Stegostoma tigrinum: one gene and its partner. Each later gene encodes a partner of the first gene's protein in a complex. Links are inferred from orthologs where the notes say so. Each region holds a gene or a part of one and is shown on either strand. Other genes may lie near its edges. The genes, in order: spg7 and voltage-dependent anion-selective channel protein 1.

What was found.
Region 2: spg7 (region 1) and voltage-dependent anion-selective channel protein 1 share a complex: the UniProt entries of both Homo sapiens proteins name them as parts of the mitochondrial permeability transition pore complex. The link is inferred for Stegostoma tigrinum from reciprocal best matches to the Homo sapiens genes SPG7 and VDAC1.

What each region holds. Positions count from the first base shown.
Region 1 is NC_081369.1:39,397,252-39,407,775, forward strand, and holds the start of spg7 (paraplegin), read right to left. Parts: upstream 4,171-10,524; 5' UTR 4,140-4,170; coding exon 3,903-4,139; intron 1-3,902. UniProt on the Homo sapiens protein: Catalytic component of the m-AAA protease, a protease that plays a key role in proteostasis of inner mitochondrial membrane proteins, and which is essential for axonal and neuron development.
Region 2 is NC_081366.1:29,523,415-29,533,613, forward strand, and holds the start of voltage-dependent anion-selective channel protein 1, read right to left. Parts: upstream 4,083-10,199; 5' UTR 3,972-4,082; intron 1-3,971. UniProt on the Homo sapiens protein: Non-selective voltage-gated ion channel that mediates the transport of anions and cations through the mitochondrion outer membrane and plasma membrane.

The DNA of each region.
Region 1 (10,524 bases):
GCTCATTCAGAAGGTCAGGAGGAATGGGATACAGGGGAACTTAGCTGCTTGGACACAAAATTGGCTGGCCAACAGAAGACAGCGAGTGGTAGTAGAAGGAAAATATTCTGCCTGGAAGTCAGTGGTGAGTGGGGTTCCACAGGGCTCTGTCCTTGGGCCTCTACTGTTTGTAATTTTTATTAATGACTTGGATGAGGGGATTGAAGGATGGGTCAGCAAGTTTGCAGACGACACAAAGGTCGGAGGTGTCGTTGACAGTGTAGAAGGCTGTTGTAGGCTGCAGCGGGACATTGACAGGATGCAGAGATGGGCTGAGAGGTGGCAGATGGAGTTCAACCTGGATAAATGCAAGGTGATGCATTTTGGAAGGTCGAATTTGAAAGCTGAGTACAGGATTAAGGATAGGATTCTTGGCAGCGTGGAGGAACAGAGGGATCTTGGTGTGCAGATACATAGATCCCTTAAAATGGCCACCCAAGTGGACAGGGTTGTTAAGAAAGCATATGGTGTTTTGGCTTTCATTAGCAGGGGGATTGAGTTTAAGAGTCGTGAGATCTTGTTGCAGCTCTATAAAACTTTGGTTAGACCGCACTTGGAATACTGCGTCCAGTTCTGGGCGCCCTATTATAGGAAAGATGTGGATGCTTTGGAGAGGGTTCAGAGGACGTTTACCAGGATGCTGCCTGGACTGGAGGGCTTATCTTATGAAGAGAGGTTGACTGAGCTCGGTCTCTTTTCATTGGAGAAAAGGAGGAGGAGAGGGGACCTAATTGAGGTATACAAGATAATGAGAGGCATAGATAGAGTTGATAGCCAGAGACTATTTCCCAGGGCAGAAATGGCTAGCACGAGGGGTCATAGTTTTAAGCTGGTTGGTGGAAAGTATAGAGGGGATGTCAGAGGCAGGTTCTTTACGCAGAGAGTTGTGAGAGCATGGAATGCGTTGCCAGCAGCAGTTGTGGAAGCAAGGTCATTGGGGTCATTTAAGAGACTGCTGGACATGTATATGGTCACAGAAATTTGAGGGTGCATACATGAGGATCAATGGTCGGCACAACATTGTGGGCTGAAGGGCCTGTTCTGTGCTGTACTGTTCTATGTTCTATGGGCGAGTTGGGCCGAATGGCTTGTTTCTGTGCTGGATAACTGATTCTATGATCTTAGCCATGACATCAGGGAATGGTGGACAATACTCACTGGGGCAAATGGTCTACTTCTGCTCCTACAACTTCTGGTTTTAACTGAATCTTTTGACGAGGTGATAAGCAAGATTAACAAGCGTAACACAATTAATCTGATCTACGTGATTTTTTGCAAGGTTTTTTTACAAGGACTCACATAGCTGAATGGTTTTAAAAAACCCATGGGGACCACAGGAATGTAGCAAGCTAAATACAAAATTAACTCAGTGACAGGATACAGGTATAATAACTCAGGGTATTTTTCAAATTGGGAAACTGCTTCCAGTGGTATCAATACCTGGTGACTTGCATTTTGTTGTCTGTATGAATGACTTGAGCTTGAAGTTAGGGGCCACAATCAAGACATTTGCAGACAATGCAAAAATTGGCCACATATTAGAATGCAAATTACATGCAGGGAACAAACAGATCTACTTTAAAATATGCACATGTAGACAGGGTAGTTAAAAAGGCCTTTGGCACACTTGCCGTCATTGCTCAGTCCTCTGAGCATCAGAATTAGGAAGTCATATTGAGGTTCTACACGACATTAGTGAGGCCACTTCTAGAATACCGAGTCCAGTTCTAATCACCCAGTCAGAGGTAGGATACTCTCAAGCTGGACAGGAATCACAGAAGATTTACTAGGAAGCTGCTGGGTGTGAAAGGGTGGATTGGCTAGGATGTTTTTCGCTGGAGCACAGGAGGTAGGGAGGTGACCTGATAGAAGTTAATAATTTAATGAGGTATTGATCGAGTAAACGGTGGTTGCTTTTTCCCTAGGATAGGGGATTTCAAGACTAGGGGGCACTTTTTTTATGGTGAGAGGAGAGAAATTTAAAAAAGACATGAGGCAATTTTTTTTTACACTGAGGGTAGTTCGCACATGGAATAAACTTCCTGAGGAAGTGATGGTGGCGGGTACAATAACAATGTTTAAAAGACATTTGGGTAGATCCACGAAGAGGAAAGGTTTGGAAGGATACGGGCCAGGAGCAACCAGTTGGGACTAATTTAGTTTGGGATTATGTTCGGCACGGACTGGTTGGGCCAAAGGATCTGTTGCTGTGTTGTATAACTCCATGGTTGATAGGGAGGACTGAAACTGTAGAATGCACAAGGGAATCAATGGACTGGTCAAATAAGCAAAAAAGTGAAAAAAATGGTATTCATCCTGGAGAAGTATGAGCCAATGTATTTGGGGAGGTCAAACAAGGCAGAGGAATTGGGGAGGCAATGGACTAACAGTATTTGCACTAAAGGGACTAAGGTAATGTTCTGGGGATAGGGTTTGAATCCAGCTGTGGCAGATGGTGCAATTTTAATTCAATTTAAAAAATCTGCAAGAGTAATGATGCCTATGAAACCATTGTTGGGGGGAAAACTATTTAGCTCACATATATTTAAGGGGAAGAAATTGCTGTCCTGATCTGGCCTACGTATGACTCCAGACCCACAGCAATATGGTTGATCCTCTGGGTAATTAGAGACAGCCAATAAATACAGGCCCAGCCAATGATGCACACATTCCATGAAAAAAATTTTAAAAATACATAATAAATGGGAGGACATAGAAGTGTAGGCCAAGTGTATATCCGTGGGTCATTGAATGCAGTGTAACAGGTAGATTAGATAGCAAGAAGGCAGATTAATGTTTTCCTTCATTAGCCATTATTAGTACAAGATTAGGTGAATTGTGCTGGAGCTAGGTAAGACATTAGCTAGTCCATAATTTATGTACTAACTGCAGTTCTGATCACCCCATTACGGTAGATGGGCTAAAGGTGGTACATGGCAGGTTTACAAGAATGTAACCAGGAGTGTAAAATTGAAGCTTTGACAAGAGATTGGGAGACCATGGTGCTTTCCTTCGAACTGAGGCAGCTCAGGACGCATTTTTTTGAAGAGTACAAAATTGAGAGAGCCTGCTTAGAATGGATGGGCAGGATCTATTTACATTAGCAGAAGAGTCGGTGACTAGAATGCATTACTATCAAGTGATTAGGAGAAGGGAGAAGAGGAAGTTTATTTTCACCTAGTGGATGGTAGGAGTCTAGAAGTCCTGCCTGAACGGATGGCAGGGGCAAAACTCTCAAATTATTTTAAAAGTATCTGGTATGCACCTGATGTCCCATTACCTGGAGGATGCAGACCAAGTGCTAAAAGAAGTGATTAAGCTAGGTGGTTCATTCTTGATGTAAAATGGGCAGAGTGGCATTCCATTGTGCCATAAGTGTTTCTCATTATCTGAGGAGATCAAATGTTCCAAGGATATGGGGAGAAGGCAATGGAGTAGCAGTACACAAGTGGTTATTTTAAGGGGTCAGCACAGATTAATCAAGTGGCCAATATTTAACAATTTGCATGAAATTCTTCCTAGGATCTCTCCATAACGATACAGGGTGCAATTAGGGAGGGTGGTAGACTTTAAATCACCAACACACACATGATGAGCCAAACTGTTGTTTCTCTATCCTAAAATTTAACTTCCACTAATTGAAGTTTACGTTTTTTCAGTCCTACTCGCCTAAATTATTTTCAACGCTATCCCCTATTACCCTGTCATTTAATGTTACGTAACGGCCTAAGGAGCACTTTCAAATACTACGTACAAAGTACAGAAATCGTGCACCTATTTCATATCATTATCAATAGCAATCGAAGTTCTTTTCAATCCACCCGACATTTCTTCGAAAAGCAATACAAATAACACTGACTCACCTTTAATATAGGATCCCTGTCTTGATGACAACAGGATCTACTGAAATCAAATCGCGTCCTTCCTAAGTCACAAATTCCACTGGCAAAGTTCCATCTCAAGGCCTCTTTCGGGAAAGCAGCGCTCAAAGCAAAAGTCCGAAATTGCAAAGACTTTTTGTTAAAAGACCACAATACCGCTGGAAGATTTCTCGCACAGCCACTGTGCTGCTGCAGCTGCCAGGCTAACCAGGCGGCCATCTTGAACCAACTGTCCGTCACCTTCCCTGACAACCTGGCAACGCGTCAGAAACACTAGCGCATGCGCAGTGCGACAGGCTGGGGTCTAGGACAGTGATAATGTGTCGGCCTGTCTGAAGTAAAATTATACACTTTGTTGGGCAATCAAAAATAATTTCTTTACAATTTCTCAAACCAATTTGCCTTTATAGGCAAATAAAAACAATAATTCCCCGAACGAAAGTAAAAGGCGGATGCCGGAAATTGGAAACAAAAACAAAAATTGCTAGAACCAATGAAGAGTCACCGGATCCGATACGTTAATTCTGTTTTCTCCCCGCAGATGATGCCAGACATGCTGAGTTTTCCAAACAATTTGTGGCTTTACAGGCACGTATTCAATTTATGACTACTTGTACTGTATTAATATTCAAAGGGTATTTCAGGTTTTAGAATCACAGCATGGTTACGGAACAGAAGGCAGTTATTCGGTCAGCCTGGCCTTGATACGAATGACACTCAACCATTTCCACCACACTCCCTTCTCCCTGTAGCTCTGCAAATTCTCTCTGTTGAATTTTCCTTTTGAAACCTTTGAATCCACCTCAACCACACTTTGAGGTAGTTCATTCTCTATCCGTTATGTGGATGGTAGCCATGGTGTACAGGTGCCGATATTGGACTGGGGTGGGCATGCATGGTCAGACGTCACACAACTGCAGGTTATAATCCAAAGGTTTATTCTGAATTACAAGTTTTTGGAGTGCTGGGTTTTTTTTGTGTCAGTTGAAATGAAGATAATCACACAGGCAAAAAATTTACAGGCAGTGAAGTCAAAAGATCATACAAATGCTGTGAGCGGCGTGTCTACAGGCTGATTAGCAAGTGAAAGGATGGCATATGATCTGATTAATTGAGGCAGAGAGATAACGACAAAAACTTTTAAAAATCAGATGGTGCTGGAGACAAACCAAAATGGCTGGAATAACGTGATAGGTATGAGTCACGTATTGAGGGTCTAACCAATGTAAAAAGTAATCTAAAGCTGTACAAACTAATTAAGGTGCCCTGAACTAATTAAGGCAATTAAATTGTCCAGGTATGACTTTTATACAAGAAGCATGGCAAATCCAACCCAGCCAATTACTATCCCGTCAGGCTGCTCTCAATAATTGGTAAAGTGATGGAAACCGTCATCGGTGATAATGGGAACTGCAGATGCTGGAGAATCCAAGATAATAAAATGTGAGGCGCTGGATGAACACAGCAGGCCCAGCAGCATCTCAGGAGTACAAAAGCTGACATTTCGGGCCTAGACCCTTCATCAGAGAGGGGGATGGGGTGAGGGTTCTGGAATAAATAGGGAGAGGCGGACTGAAGATGGAGAGAAAAGAAGATAGGTGGAGAGGAGAGTATAGGTGGGAGGTGATAGGTCAGTCCAGGGAAGATGGACAGGTCAAGGAGGTGGGATGAGGTTAGTAGGTAGGAGATGGAGGTGCAGCTTGGGGTGGGAGGAAGGGATGGGTGAGAGGAAGAACAGGTTAGGGAGGCAGAGACAGGCTGGGCTGGTTTTGGGATGCAGTGGGTGGAGGGGACGAACTGGGCTGGTTTTGGGATGTGGTGGGGGAAGGGGAGATTTTGAAGCTGGTGAAGTCCACATTGATACCATTGGGCTGCAGGGTTCCCAAGCGGAATATGAGTTGCTGTTCCTGCAACCTTCGGGTGGCATCATTGTGGCATTGCAGGAGGCCCATGATGGACATGCCATCTAAAGAATGGGAGGGGGAGTGGAAATGGTTTGCGACTGGGAGGTGCAATTGTTTATTGCGAACCGAGGTCATCAGCAGTGATATAAAGCAGCACCTACTCAGCAATAACTGGCTCGCTGACATCCAGGTTGGGATTCATCAGGGACACTCAGCTCCTGATCTCATTACAGCCTTGGTTCAAACATGGAGAAAAGAGATGAATTTCAGCGGTGAGGTGAGACTGACAATCTTTGACATCGAAACCGCATTCACCCAAGTGTGGCACAAGGAGCCGTAGCAAATTAAGCCCTAGGAATCAATGAATATCTGGTGACACACTCTCTGCTGGTTGGAGTCATACTTGGCACACAGGAAGACGGTTGTGGTTGTTGGAAGTCAGCTCCAGGACATCTATGCAGGAGTTCCTCAGGGTAGTGTCCTAGTCCCAGTAATCATCAATGCCATTCCTTCCATCATAAAGTCAGCAGCAGGGATGTTTGCCAAAAAGTGCACATATTCAGCACCATTTGTGACTCCTCAGATACTGAAGCAGTCCATATTAAAATACAAGGCTTGGATTGACAAGTGGCAAATAACATTTACACCATACAAATGCCACAAGAGATAATTTAACCATCATCCCTCGACATTCACTGGTGTTACCATCACTGAATGTCCCATTATTTCCCATTATCAACATTCCTTGTTCAGCAACATTCCCCAGGATCTTACCATTAACTGTATAAGTCATGCCCCAATTTGCCTTTCCGAATTGCAGCACCACACATTTATCTAAATCAAATATCTGCCATTCTCCAGCCCATTTGCCCACCTATCAAGATCCTGATGTACTCTGAGATAACCTTCTTTGCTAAGATAACAAGGTGTGGAGATGGATGAACACAGCAGGCCAAGCAGCATCTCAGGAGCACAACAGTTGATGCTTCGGGCCTAGACCCTTCATCAGAGAGGGGGATGGGGAGAGGGAACTGGAATAAATAGGGAGAGAGGGGGAGGCGGACCGAAGATGGAGAGAAAAGAAGATAGGTAGAGAGGAGAGTATAGGTGGGGAGGTAGGGAGGGGATAGGTCAGTCCAGGGAAGACGGACAGGTCAATGAGGCGGGAGAGGTGGTAGGTAGGAAATGGAGGTGCAGCTTGAGGTAGGAGGAAGGGATGGGTGGGAGGAAGAACAGGTTAGAGAAGCGGAGACAGTCTGGGCTGGTTTTGGGATGCAGTGAGGGGAGGGGAAGAACTGGGCTGGTTTTGGGATGCAGTGGGGGAAGGGGAGATTTTGAAGCTTGTGAAGTCCACATTGATACCATTGGGCTGCAGGGTTCCGAAGCGGAATATGAGTTGCTGTTCTTGCAACCTACGGGTAGCATCATTGTGCCAGCAATACCAATGCAAAACAGCAGCGGTTTCACATTGGCGGGAGTTAAGATGACTGCAATGCAAAGAAGTCAACAGGACTTGAATCTGGCTTGATATTTTACATCATTGAATTACATATATTTTAATATAAGCTAGCGTCTCTCTCAGGGCACTGCTCACTGTAGATAACAGAATTCCTAAAAAGTCCTTCATTACTCAGAGCATTGAATATTGGAGTTGGGATGTTATATTGAGGATGTACAGGACATTGGTGAGCCCTCTTCAAATATTGTGTCTAGTCCTGGTCATTCAATTATAGGCAAAATATTATTAAGCTGGAGAGGGTTCAGAAGAGATTTACCAGAATGTTACCAGGAATGGAGGGTTTCAGTTGTAAAGGCTGGATAAGCTGGGGCATTTTTTACAGGAGCACAGTTGGTTGAGGGGTCACCTGATAGAGGTTTACAAAATAATGAGGGATATAGGTAAAGTGAATGGCAGCTGTCTTTTCCCTCAGGTGCGTGATTTGAAGACTAGCGGGCATATTTTTAAGATGAGAGGAGAAAGACTTAAAACAAAAAGACATGAGTGGCAGCTTTTTTTTCTTTACACAGAGAATGGTTTGTATGTGGAATGAACTTTCAGAGATACAGGTACAGTTACAATTTTAAAAAACATTTATGTAAGTTTATGAATGGGAAATGTTTGGAGGGATATGGGCAAAACACAGGCAAGTGGATCGAGTTTAGTTTGGGATTATGGTCGACCTGGACTGGTTGGACTGAAGGATCTATTTCCATGCAAGATGATTATGACTCCTGTCCTATGACTCAGATAGTAGCTACCTCTGCCCTTAAATGGGCGACCTATCTGTTCTTGCTGATTATATCCACCTTAGAAGGCAGATGGGCGTATGGATTCACTTTGAAAGGAAGATGAGTCCTTAAATTTAGATATTTTGTAATCAATCTGTTCAGATAAGTTATAAGAAATCAAGCACAGTTGGACTGGGAATCCACATATTGGAGATGGGGCACAGGTCAAATAGAATGATGAGTTATTACATGGAAAGCAGAGTTTTAAATAATATTAACTTTTTGGAGGGATGAAAATTGGAGGTTGGCCAGGAGGGCATTTTTAAGAGATTCATCAACAAACAAACCAAGGCAAGGTTGGAGCAGATGATATCAAATGTCCCTGCCTGGATCCGCCATCACCTTAGCACCCAGGCAATACTTCATGTCTACGAGGTAAGAACGAAAATCATTTGCCATTACAAATGACATTTGAAAAGAATCTTGGAACATGGGCATCGCTGACAAGGCTTGATGGCAAGAACTTGACCAAAAAAAGGTCAATACATAGAAATAATAAAATGCAAAGATATTGAAAATCTCTAGTTTAACAAACATTCACTCATCAATTGGTCTTGCAGAGACTTCCTCCCTAATCCCACATTAACAAGGATGAGTTGTGGGTGCTGCCAGAGTTAGTTGGCACTCCAATCTGGAATTATGTTGTTGGCATGACATACCATTGCACATTCATGGAATACAAGTCTTTTTTTGTTTATTCGGCTTTACATTTTCCTGTCAGATGCACGGATGTGAGTACAGCGGCAGAACTCAAGGCATTGAGAATTCATCAATTTCAAAGAATAGTACTCTTGTTCATAGTAGGATACTCGCTAGCTAAAAGAGAGAAACATCCTGCAGAATGGATCAACAATCACTAGAAAGATGACTTTGTACATTGCATTACTGATAGGCTATTTATTGCTTTCTAAAGCCACAGTAACAAAGATAAAGTGGAGAAGTCACTTTCATGGGCATTAGAGTGCAGACAGTTAACCATACACTTGAAATTCTTTTAAACTGTTCAACGTTTTAAAAAATATTTATCCTCCATCTCTGCAAATAACAGTTCATCACAAGCTAATATGCTCAGTGTATGTAATAAAGCAAAAAATACACTTGAAATTCTTTTAAACTGTTCAACGTTTTAAAAAATATTTATCCTCCATCTCTGCAAATAACAGTTCATCACAAGCTAATATGCTCAGTGTATGTAATAAAGCAAAAAATTGCAGAGGCTTAAGATCTGAAACCGAAGGAAAAAACAGAAATTGCTGATGAAACCCAGCAAGTGTGGCAGAATCTATGGGAAGAAAGCAAAGTTAAGGTTTCAAGGCTAGTAATTCTTCATCAGAACTAACGATAGAAGCACCACAACTTACTTATCCTTGTTAATTTGGGAATAGGGAGGAAGTTTTTCCAAGACCAATTGATGAGTAAACATTTGTTAAACTAGACACTTTCAGAACCTTTGCAGTCTATTATTTTTATGTCTTGACATTTTTTGGACAAGTTCTTGGCATCAAGCTATCTCAAATTTAGGCAATGCTCTTACAACACTGATTGTAGAATCAATTTTAAGAAGGGTATCCTACTTAATTTTAATTTACCTGTCCTAAAAGTAAACCATTTTGACATGGTCAAAATTGAAATTGGCAGCCTTTGGGAAAATTTGCCTCATTATTTATTCCATCACAAATTAAAAATTGTGAATGTTAGCATAATGGTTGTGTTAATAGACTACTAATCTAGGGATTATGATCTGATGATATGTGCTCAAATCCCATCACAGTAGCTAGGGAATTTAAAGTCAGTTAATTAAATCAATCTGCAATAAAAAAGTTAATAATATCCTTTAGGAAAGGAAATCTGTTGCCTTAGTCAAGGTTTTACCTAGAAGCATCTCGAGACCAAAGTAATGCGATTGTCTATTTCAGACAGAACTTGAACACATAACTAAATTGACTCCTACCACAACATTAGCTGACTTTGCTGCTGATATCTCTGTTCTTGTGGGTGAGTAGAAAAAAAAAGTGCAATAATATGGGTGGCACAGTGGCTAGCACTGCAGCCTCACAGCACCAGGTTCTCAGGTTTGATTCCAGCCTCCAGTCTGTGTGGAGTTTGCACATTCTTCCCATGTCTGTGTAGGTTTCCTCCAGGTGCTCCAGTTTCCTCCCACAGTCCAAAGATGTGCAGGCTAGGTGGATCAGCTAGGCTAAATTGCATGTGTTCAGGGGTGTGTGGGATGCTCCAAAGGGCAGTGTGGACTTGTTGGATCAAAGGGCCTGTTTCCACACTGTGGGGAATCTAATACAAGGAGTATAAATTATAATTATACAAATTATAAATTCTTTTAAGAATTGATTTGTTCAGAAAAGTCTTTACTTTTACAGGTATTTTACAACATCGACCATTTGTCTATTGCCATG
Region 2 (10,199 bases), on another chromosome or scaffold:
AAGTTTAAAGAAACCATTATGCTTCCTGTGAAGTAAAAAGGTTTTTCCATTTTTTGTCCACAGATTTACCTAAGATTAAAGGAAACAATCACTTACACCGTATCTGTAACTTGTGACAGTCACTTACCTTGTGGTGATGCCTTTAATGAATGCTTAAGTGCCTGTCACCTGTTCAACTGAAGTTATTGGATGGATTGTGACAGTCTCAATTAATTTGTCAGTTTGTTATACTATGTTCTTAAACTGAGAAGATGCAAGTCCTGCATATCCTAGGAACACCATATTTCATAAACAGTCTGCCAGTCTCATAAGTCCAAACAAATTAGTCTGATAATATATACAATGCTCCAAAGTTACACTATAATAAGTATCTTAAATTTTCTCGTAACTACAGAATAATGCCATTGCATCTGTATTATTCCACAGCTAATATTACCACCCTTAACATAGTGGCAGCTCTTTTGCCAGAGTCAGCAGACTGGTTCCAGAGATGAACAAATCTAAACTATATGCGACTGAAAGCAACTTTGATTACAATACAGTTTGAAGATAAATAGGAAAACAAGCTGTGATGAGGATACAGAGATAATGGGAACTGCAGATGCTGGAGAATCCGAGATAAAGCGTGGAGCTGGATGAACACAGCAGGCCAAGCAGCATCTTAGGAGCACAAAGACTTCAGTTTCGGGCCTAGATCCTTCCCGGGGCCTGAAACATCAGCTTTTGTACTCCTAAGATACTGCTTGGCCTGCTGTGTTCATCCAGCTCCACACTTTGTTATCTGTGATGAGAATACAAATGTTCTGAAAAGGGATATAGACAAGTTAAATGAGTGAACAATAATTTAGCAGAGTGAATATAATGTGGGGAAAATGAGAGTTTATCTAGTATTGCAACAGGAATGAAAGCACAGTGTTATAGAAATACAGGAGACTGCATGATGTTGCAGGGAAGAGAGATTATAATATCCTTGTACATTAATTGCAAAAGGTCAGCATAAACGTGCAGCAAATAATTAGGAAGACAAATGGAATGCTAGTCTTTACTGCAAGAAAAAGTGTATAAAAGTAGAGCATTTTGATACAACTGTACAGAGTACTGCTGAAACTACTCTCTCCAATATTGTGTACAGTTCTGCACCTTACTCAAGGAGAAGCATATTTGCAGTGGAAGTAGTTCAGGGGAGGCTTACACGGCTGATTCTTGGATAAAGGGTTTAACTTATGGAAGACAAGATAAGCACATTGGCCCCTTGCTCATTGAATTTAGAAGAATGAGAGGTAATCTAATTGAACCTTGTTAAATTCTGACAGGGTTTGACATGGCAGTGGCAGGACTCCCTTGTGGGAATCTAGAACTAAGGGGCAAAATTTAAAAATAAGAAATCTCCTATCTGAAATGAAGGTAAGGAAGAATTTCTCCTCTCAGAAGGTTGCTGGTATTTGGAGCTTTCCACCTCAGCAAATAATGGAGGTTGGGTCAATAAAAAGATTTGAAACTGAACTAAAGATTTTTGATTCACAGAAGGACCATGGGGGCTCGGAGAAAAGAGTTAAAATTATGTCAAATCAGCCCCAATCTTACTGAATATTAAAGCAGGTTTGAGGGGTCAAATGGCATATTTCTACTTCAATTTCTTATATCCTGTTTTACGTACATCATCTAAGCTGACACTTCAATGTGGTGCAGAGGGTATACTACTCTGCTGGAGGTTACACTGTTAAACCGAGTCTTATCTGCCCTGTCAAGCAGATGGAAAAATCCCATGCTACTTTTATGCACAAATTGCAACAGGTTATACAATATTATTGATATGGGCTTCAGGACAAGTCATCTGCCTGAATGCCTGGTTGGCATGCGGTAGAAAGAAAACACATCAAACCAGAAAATGCAAAAGTAAAAAAGTACTGTGCTTAGAAAACAGGCTGAGTTTCATGTGCGGAGATAGCAAGAACTGCAGATGCTGGAAGAACACAGCAGGCCAGGCAGCAGAGGAGCAGGGAACTTGACATTTCTGAAGAAGGGACCTGACTCGAAATGAGTTTGTGTGAAGAGTGTTCAGTGCAGTTAACTTTTTTTCAATAATTGTGGTGCATTTGTAGTGCAATAACATATCTGCATAGGTATATATACTAGAATGGTAGACACTAATAGTCTGTGGTTCTAGGCTAATAATCCAGAGATCATTTGTTTAAATACCATGCCAGCATGAAGAACATATATTCAGCTTATACAAAAGCATGGAACTAAAAAGCTGGTATCAGTAACTGTACCACTGCCATTTTTAAAGAAAAAAACAAATGCTTCAGTAACATCTTTAAGAAATGTTTTCTGTTCTTACCTCTCCTGACTTGCGTAGGTAGATTCATTTCCATACCAACTTGAGTCACTGTGAACTTCCAACAAGTGGCATCACAACTCAATCAGTTGACTCAAACACCATGCAGTATTACAAAATGAAAGCCTTTTATCACATTTCCCAACAAGTTGAAAAGGGAAATATTTCTAACCTACTTAGTAACACCCAGATCAAAAAATGAAAAATAAACTGGATGTAGCAACTTGGTTAGTTGCAACATGATATCCACACAATCCTTACAAATTATCATTTGACAATTTAATTCTGGCTTACAAAATAATCGCTCTGTGATAGTTAACATCCCATTTTGCATGAAAATTAAATTCATTGGGAAGTTGAAGGAGTACCTACCACAACGTTCTGAAAATTTGAAGTAGCTCTTCAATGTCCTCATGCAGTTTTATTTCAGGAAACTGACACAAGGGAGGACAAGTACAGAAAACTCTCAAACATATGAACAGATGGATAAAGATTGTATAATATTTTATTGATTTAAGACCAAGCATCACTTCCCAGCTAAGCAATGCCTCAACTTTTAGGGTAAAGAATCCCAACAGCACATGTAACCAAAACAGACTCACTTTTCAACATTTAAAAACATAATATTGGAAACAAGCTTGAAAGGCAATGCATATTTATTTTGATGCTTGATATTTGTTTCCTTATCATTGTGTTTTTCAAATTACAAAGCAAAGGCCAACATTTGAGGAGCAGCCTTCTCCCCATTACACAGGCATGAAAGTCATGTTCAATGATACTGAATACATGTAGTGCCATTTTTACATGAATATCAAGAATAAATTAATGCCCTAAACATATCAAATAAAAGTTTACTATCTATACTCATCAGTCTGAGGGTTCATTACTGACACTAGAGTTAATGAAGTTGTGAAAATGTTTAGCATCTAAGGCAAGTGCTCTCTATGAAGAGAATTTTGAGACTGTTTGCATAATATCTTCGCCTCAAAGTTTCAACCTAAGATTGTGACATGAACATTTTGAAATGTCATTCTAGCCCTAGGACATGTGGGGAACTACTGCCCTTTCCAAATTGGCATGGCTTTCACATGTTGCTAAAATATATTCAGCACATTGGGTACAAACGGCCAGGCTCGAGTATAGTTATGACTAGAGTTCCTAATTAAAGTAAAATACATGTTAAATCGGACATGGAAGACTTTTTTATTACAAAGCAGAAAGAAGATCGCTTGCAAATGCGGCGTTACCTACAAACAGCGTTACAAAGCCTTTGCCCAAAGGACATGCAAGAGCTGTCAGTGCCCCAACCTTGCATGCTGGTAAAGGTCACTCTCCACCCGCCATTCAACAGACTCCAGCGAGACAAACGCATGGATTCTACTCAAGAAATATAAGTTAACGCCTTCAACGAGCTTTGCTATTCCATGGACTCAACCTCGTGGCAGAGAGGTAGATTACGGACCGTAACCCTGGAGAAGAACAGGCAAACATGATGCCATCCACCTACTCCCAGCCCCGGCCTTTAAACTCAAATCCCTTTCCAGCAACGTCCAGAATTTTCACTCCCGCCTCTCTCCTTGTGAACATAGACTACCTGACATGTCCTCTTCTCGCCGGTGTTACACAAACATACCTCTGAAGAGCTGGGAGGGAAAGCTTCCAGCCGACAATTTCCAAACGAACAACTCAGCAGCACACACTGACCGAAAGGGAACGACTGCACATGCGCTGATGCCCCGGGACGTGGAGTCAACGGCGCGTGCGCAGTCAAGGGGAGGGGGCGGGCGAACGGCGGCGCGTGCGCAGTGAGGGGCGGCGACGGAGGGGAGCGGCTCCAGGGAATGACTGTTGTGCTGATAACAAAGTGTGGAGCTGAATGAACACAGTAGGCCAAGCAGCATCTCAGGAGCTTCAAAATCTCCCCTTCCTCTACTGAGGGCTGGTTTTGGGATGCAGTAGGGGAAGGGGAGATTTTGAATCTCCTGAGATGCTGCTTGGCCTGCTGTGTTCATCCAGCTCCACACTTTGTTACCTTGGATTCCCCAGCATCTGCAGTTCCCATTATCAATGACTGAGCGCTGCTGCGGCACATTTTCAACTGGTCAGTGACAACGTTTGCACCCTGCTGGAGACACATGTGCTTATGAATAAACCGACTGTTGGCTTCGCAATGGCATAGTGAGAAGGGGCGTGTTCCTGCTTTCGATGAAGTATTTCGTAAATGGGTTGAGATGATTCCTAGGTGGAGTTTCAGCAGAGAAGTCGGACAGGGCTGAAGCATTGCGGTATGAGCAAATGAGAAATTACTATTTTAGAATTTATTTTGGCTCAAGTGGGATATGTCTAATGTTACTCACGGACTCCTCACATAGGCAGAATGGGTAGACGTTACCTGACTGTGGCAAGCCAGCTGATAGAGTGAGGGCACAATTACATTTCTTCGAAATAACCAGGTGTAGAGCTGGATGAACACAACAGGCCCAGCAGCATCAGAGGAGCAGGAAAGCTGATGTTTCGGGCCTAGTCCCTTCATCAGAAAAGAGGGAGGGGGAGAGGGGTAGACGGATCGAAGATGGATAGAGAAGATAGGTGGAGGGGAGACAGACAAGCTAAAGAGGCGAGGATGGAGCCAGTAAAGGTGAGTGTAGTTGGGGAGGTAGGGGGGAGATATGTCAGTCCAGGGAGGACGGTCTGATGCCATTTTTTCGAACGTTCCTTTTTCGCACAGTCATTGCAATTGAAAGTTCCGCGATAGACGTGGTGAGCAATAAACCTATCATTCATTAACAATAATGTGTGCTGACTCTAGTCACTTCATTCGGTCTCTACGTACGCATTGCAATAGCAGTCTTTACGTTTTGCAAGTCCCATTATTCTCTGTGTGCTTTGTCGTTGGCTGATCCTGTGATATGTGCTCGTTCGAATGTTGATACTGCTTGTCCAGGGAGTTCCATTCCTGTGGTGATGCTGTTGCCCTGATATCTCTTGTTGTGAATCCGTTTCTGTTGCTGGGTAACAGTGGCTCTCAAGGAGTGATGCCCATTCTGTAGATAATGAAATCGATTCTTCCTGATCCATTGCCTCCTGTGAATGCACAACTTCTCTAGTTGTACATGCATGTTGCATGTTCCCTTGAACAAATTGAGATGACAACTGCTCGTCACAGGTCCCAACTTAGTAATTAGGCTGACTTTTATTGAAAGCGCCGAAGATTTACACACTGACTTGTTCTCTAATACTCAGCTCTGGTCATGCCTTGGCAGTTTTAACTGGTTTGGTCAAATTTGGTTTTCCGCCATTTCACCTTGAATTTTTGTGCATAATAATAATCTTTGGACTGGGTGACTTTCTGTGCCTTCAGTTGATGTATTTTTTTGCTGAAGGATTGCCTTATACAACTCTGCTGAATTTTCTCAATTTCTTTGTGATCCCTTTGATACATTGAACTGCAGCTTCAACCTTTCCATTTTACTCAGGATGGCATGAAATTGTATACTTTTGAATTTTCTAATTCTTTATGAAACAACTGAACACTGAGTAACATTGTTACTCATGACAATATCTGGAATACTGTAATGACTGAAGTGCTTTCAGGCATTCTACAATCTCACTGATTATCATGAACACCAGCTGGTCAAACTTCCAGTGGTCAGAATAGTAATCGATGATAACAAAGTAATCAGTCACTGCAACAGTGAAGACATCTACTTCAGGCTTCACCCATAGTCTGCCTCGGATGTCATGTGTCCTCAGTGTCTCCCTGACTTGCTGACCTTGGTATTTGTTACAAACGTTGTGTTGGTTTTAGTTCGTAATCATTGTTCATGTTTGGCCAGTAGAGCGCTTTTCTTGCCTTCCTCAGACCAGACTCAATCCCTTGATGGCTAGCATGGATGCGGTTCAGTATACTTCTCACTTCCTTAAGGATAATGACTACTTGGTTTGTACCAGATGCCGTACTGGGCTCTTTCTTTGTCTCTCTATGCCAAATAGTCTTACAGCTACATCTGTGTCCTTCATGGTTTCAGGCCATCTTTTCATCATTGCTTCCTGCAGGATTTGGAGAGTTACATCTTGTGTATAATTCACCTTATTTGAGTAAGACCCTTGTAGTTCAGATTCATTGCCTCTGCTGGGTTGCTGATTTCTAGAACAGTTGCTCCATATTGAAGCTGGAAGATTTCACCCTCTGCATTAGCATTCTCAACTTTCTTAATTAAGAATGCAGCTCTCAACAGAAGAGTGTATATCCATTTCCCTTGCTTATATTTTCATGCCCAACTTGTATCTTCGCAAAGTTAGTCGCATTCTTTGTTGCGAATAGAAGCAGTTTGAGGAAGAGCAGTTGTGGCCAGAGTGCACTCTCAGCTTGCCTCTCCCAAATAGTTCTCACTTTGTCAGGTTCCAGGCAAAGTGCATTTACTGTCAGTACAGTACTTGAATTCAGGCATCTTCAATTGCATCTTCTTGTTCAGATTCAGGCACCTGGCGAGCACACTAGCAATTACACCAGATTTTGATCGTAATCTGTGATGGGTTCTTTCGTTCTGTCTCCACAATATGATCAAAAATTGCTTGCACTTCATTAAGGTCACTGATAATCTCACGTTGTCAGCATTGACACTCTTTTGGGACAATGCAAGTGCCTAACAGCATATGCATGTAAATATCTCTCCCAGATGGCATCCAGAGTTTTAAAAGTTTTTAAAAAAAACTTGTTTTCATCCAGCTTCACTTCTTAGTAACCAACCATAGAATCAAAGGTAGTGAATACCTTCGTCTTGATAAGTTGTAGCAATGTTCCTTTGGCTGGCACCATGAAATGATATCACTTCAAGGCTTTGTTGAGATCCTTTGGATCCATATATGCTATCTTCTTTCTAGGTTTGTTTCCAATGTTCTTCTAAAGCAGTTCTATGTTGTCTTTCAGAATGGAACTTTTCTTGACAGGTGCTGGGTTGGTCACCGCCCTCATTTACTTTGGGATAATATTCATTGGGAAGATATCCAACATCTGTAAAAAGACACCTTTGTAATTTTTCAGGATCTGTTCAGAGTTAATGGCTTACTGGCCTGCAAAACCCAGTAAATCTCTTCTGTAATGTTTAAGCTTAGAGTTTAGAACATAGAAGAGTACAATACAGGAACAGGCACTTTGGTCCACCATATGTCAACCATAATGACATTCTGAACTAATCCCATCTGCCTGCATATGATCTGTATCTGTCTATACCCTGTGTGTTCATGTGTCCGTTCAAATGCCTCCTAAATGTTGCTATCATATCTGCTTCTATCACCGCTCCAGGCAGCTCATTCCAGGCGCCTACCTCTGCACAAAAAAACGTATCCCGCATATCTCCTTTAAACTTTTCCCCCTCACCTGAAACCTATTTCACCTTATCCATAATTTTATATACTTTTATCAGGTCATACCTCAGCCTCAAATGCTGTAGCAAAAACAATGCAAGTTTGTCCAACCTCTCCTTATAGTTAATCTGTTCCAATTCAGACAACATCCAGACAAACCTCTTTTGAACTCTCTCCAAAGCCTTCTCTTCCTTTCTAGGATGTGGCAAAAATTAATGCACACAACACTCTAAATGGGGCCTAACTAAAGTTTTACGCAGCTGCCACATGACTTGTCAACTTCTCAGTTTCCAGTAGACAACCTTTCTCGCTATCCAAAACTCCACCAATTTTCACATTATCTGCCAACCTACTAATCAGACCACCTATATTTTCATTCAACGCATTTATGAATGTTGCAAACAACAAAGGTCCCAGCATTGATCCTTTTGGAACACCACTGGTCACAGACCTTCAGTCAGAAATGAACCCCTCCTCAACTACCCTTTCTCTTCTATAACAAAGCCAATTTTGTATCCCAACTTGCCAACTTACCACAGATCCCACAAGACTTAATTTTCCAATCAAGCCTACCATGAGCAACCTTGTCAAACACCTCAGTAAAGTCCATGTAGACAACATCCACTGCCTTACCACCATTATCATCTTCAACACTAACTCTTAAAAATTCAATCACATTTGTCGGACAAGAACTGCCTTGCAGAGAGCCACTCTGACTATTCATAATAAGTCAGTTTTCTTTCCAAACATGAGTAAATCTTGGCCTTAACAATCTTCTGCAGTAATTTCCCCGCCACTGATGTAAGTGGCCTACAATTTTGTGGATTATCCCTGTCACCCTTTATAATCAAAGGAACAACATTGGTTATTCTCTAGTCTTCAGGGAACTTGCCTGCTACTAATGAGGATACGAAGATTCCAGCAATCTCCTCACTTGCATTCCTCAGTATTCTCGGATAGATCTTGTCAGACCGTAGGACCAGTCTTACCCTTTTCCATAAGGTTTAAGGTAGTTATGGATCTATGATCACTGTTCCTGAAATGCTTCCCCACTGAAACTTCAATCACCTGGCCATGCTCATTCCCCAATACAATATCTGACATGGCTCCTTCCCTAATTGGATTATCCATATGATGTTTCAAGAGTCCCTCCTGGATGCTCCTAATAAATTCTGCCACATCTAAGCCCCTAGCACAGTGGGAATCTCGGTCACTATTGGAAGAGTTAAAATCACCCCAACAACACCTCTGTTGTTTTTACACCTTTCCATGATTTGCTTACATATCTGTTCCTCATATCTCCCACTGGCTATCGGGAAGCCTACAGTATAGCTCACTATAATGATTGCAAATTTCTTATTCCTTTGTCTTACCCATATGGCCTTGCTGGATGAGCCCTCCAAGATGCCCTGTCTTAGTGCAACTGTGACATTCTCCTTAATCAGTAATGCAACTCCCCAACTCCTTTAACATCCCTTTCTATTACACTCTCTCATTAGTTCACAGTTAGGAAAGGTGGCTAATACATTAAGATTACAGTTTCATTTCTCTAAGCAGTTTAATTTGCCTTATGCTAAATAATCTGCGTATGCAGAACCTATGGTCAAGATAGAAGGTTATTGCTACCTGGTCTAGAACAATACAAACTTGAAGAATACTATTAATCTTTCTTACTCCTTATCATATGATCATTTGTAGAATCTAAAGTAAACTATTCTTAAGTAGCCTAACTTGAAATGTGTTGAGAGCTCTGCTGCTACTTTTAGTTTTTGTTCTCACTGTCTCATAAACAACATCACAATGGTTGCGAATATGTTCTGAAGGAGTCATTAGGCCTGAAATGTTAACTTTGCTTTCTCTCCACAGATGCTACCAGACCCGCTGAGCTCCTTCAGCATTTTCTGTTTTTGTGTTGACAGAAGATCCCTGACAAGGCACTAAAGATATTAAATTACAAACAAAACCAAGATTGGAAACTGATGGAAATGTTTATGTGATAAGGACTGTATAAGTATCAGTTTGGGTCTGGACCTGAAGATCTGCAGATTGACACCGGAGGTGAATGAAGCCTCAACCAATTCAGACCTACAATGCCAACAGCCTAACTACTTAAGAGTGGTCCTAAGTGTACATTCTAGCAACAAGATAGGACAACCACCTAGAAACAGAGACTCACATGAGGATTTTATGGGTGACAATGAGTTTTGAATTAATGTTTAACGAATACTACAGTGAGTTATCCACACTCAGTGTGTTGAGAAGTTCCCTGTTTTCCTCATACATTGACATGGCTGTAATTGTAGGCTCATGTATGAGCAAAACAGGGAACTTCTCAACACACTGAGTGTGGATAACTCACTGTAGTATTCGTTAAACATTAATTCAAAACTCATTGTCACCCATAAAATCCTCATGTGAGTCTCTGTTTCTAGGTGGTTGTCCTATCTTGTTGCTAGAATGTACACTTAGGACCACTCTTAAGTAGTTAGGCTGT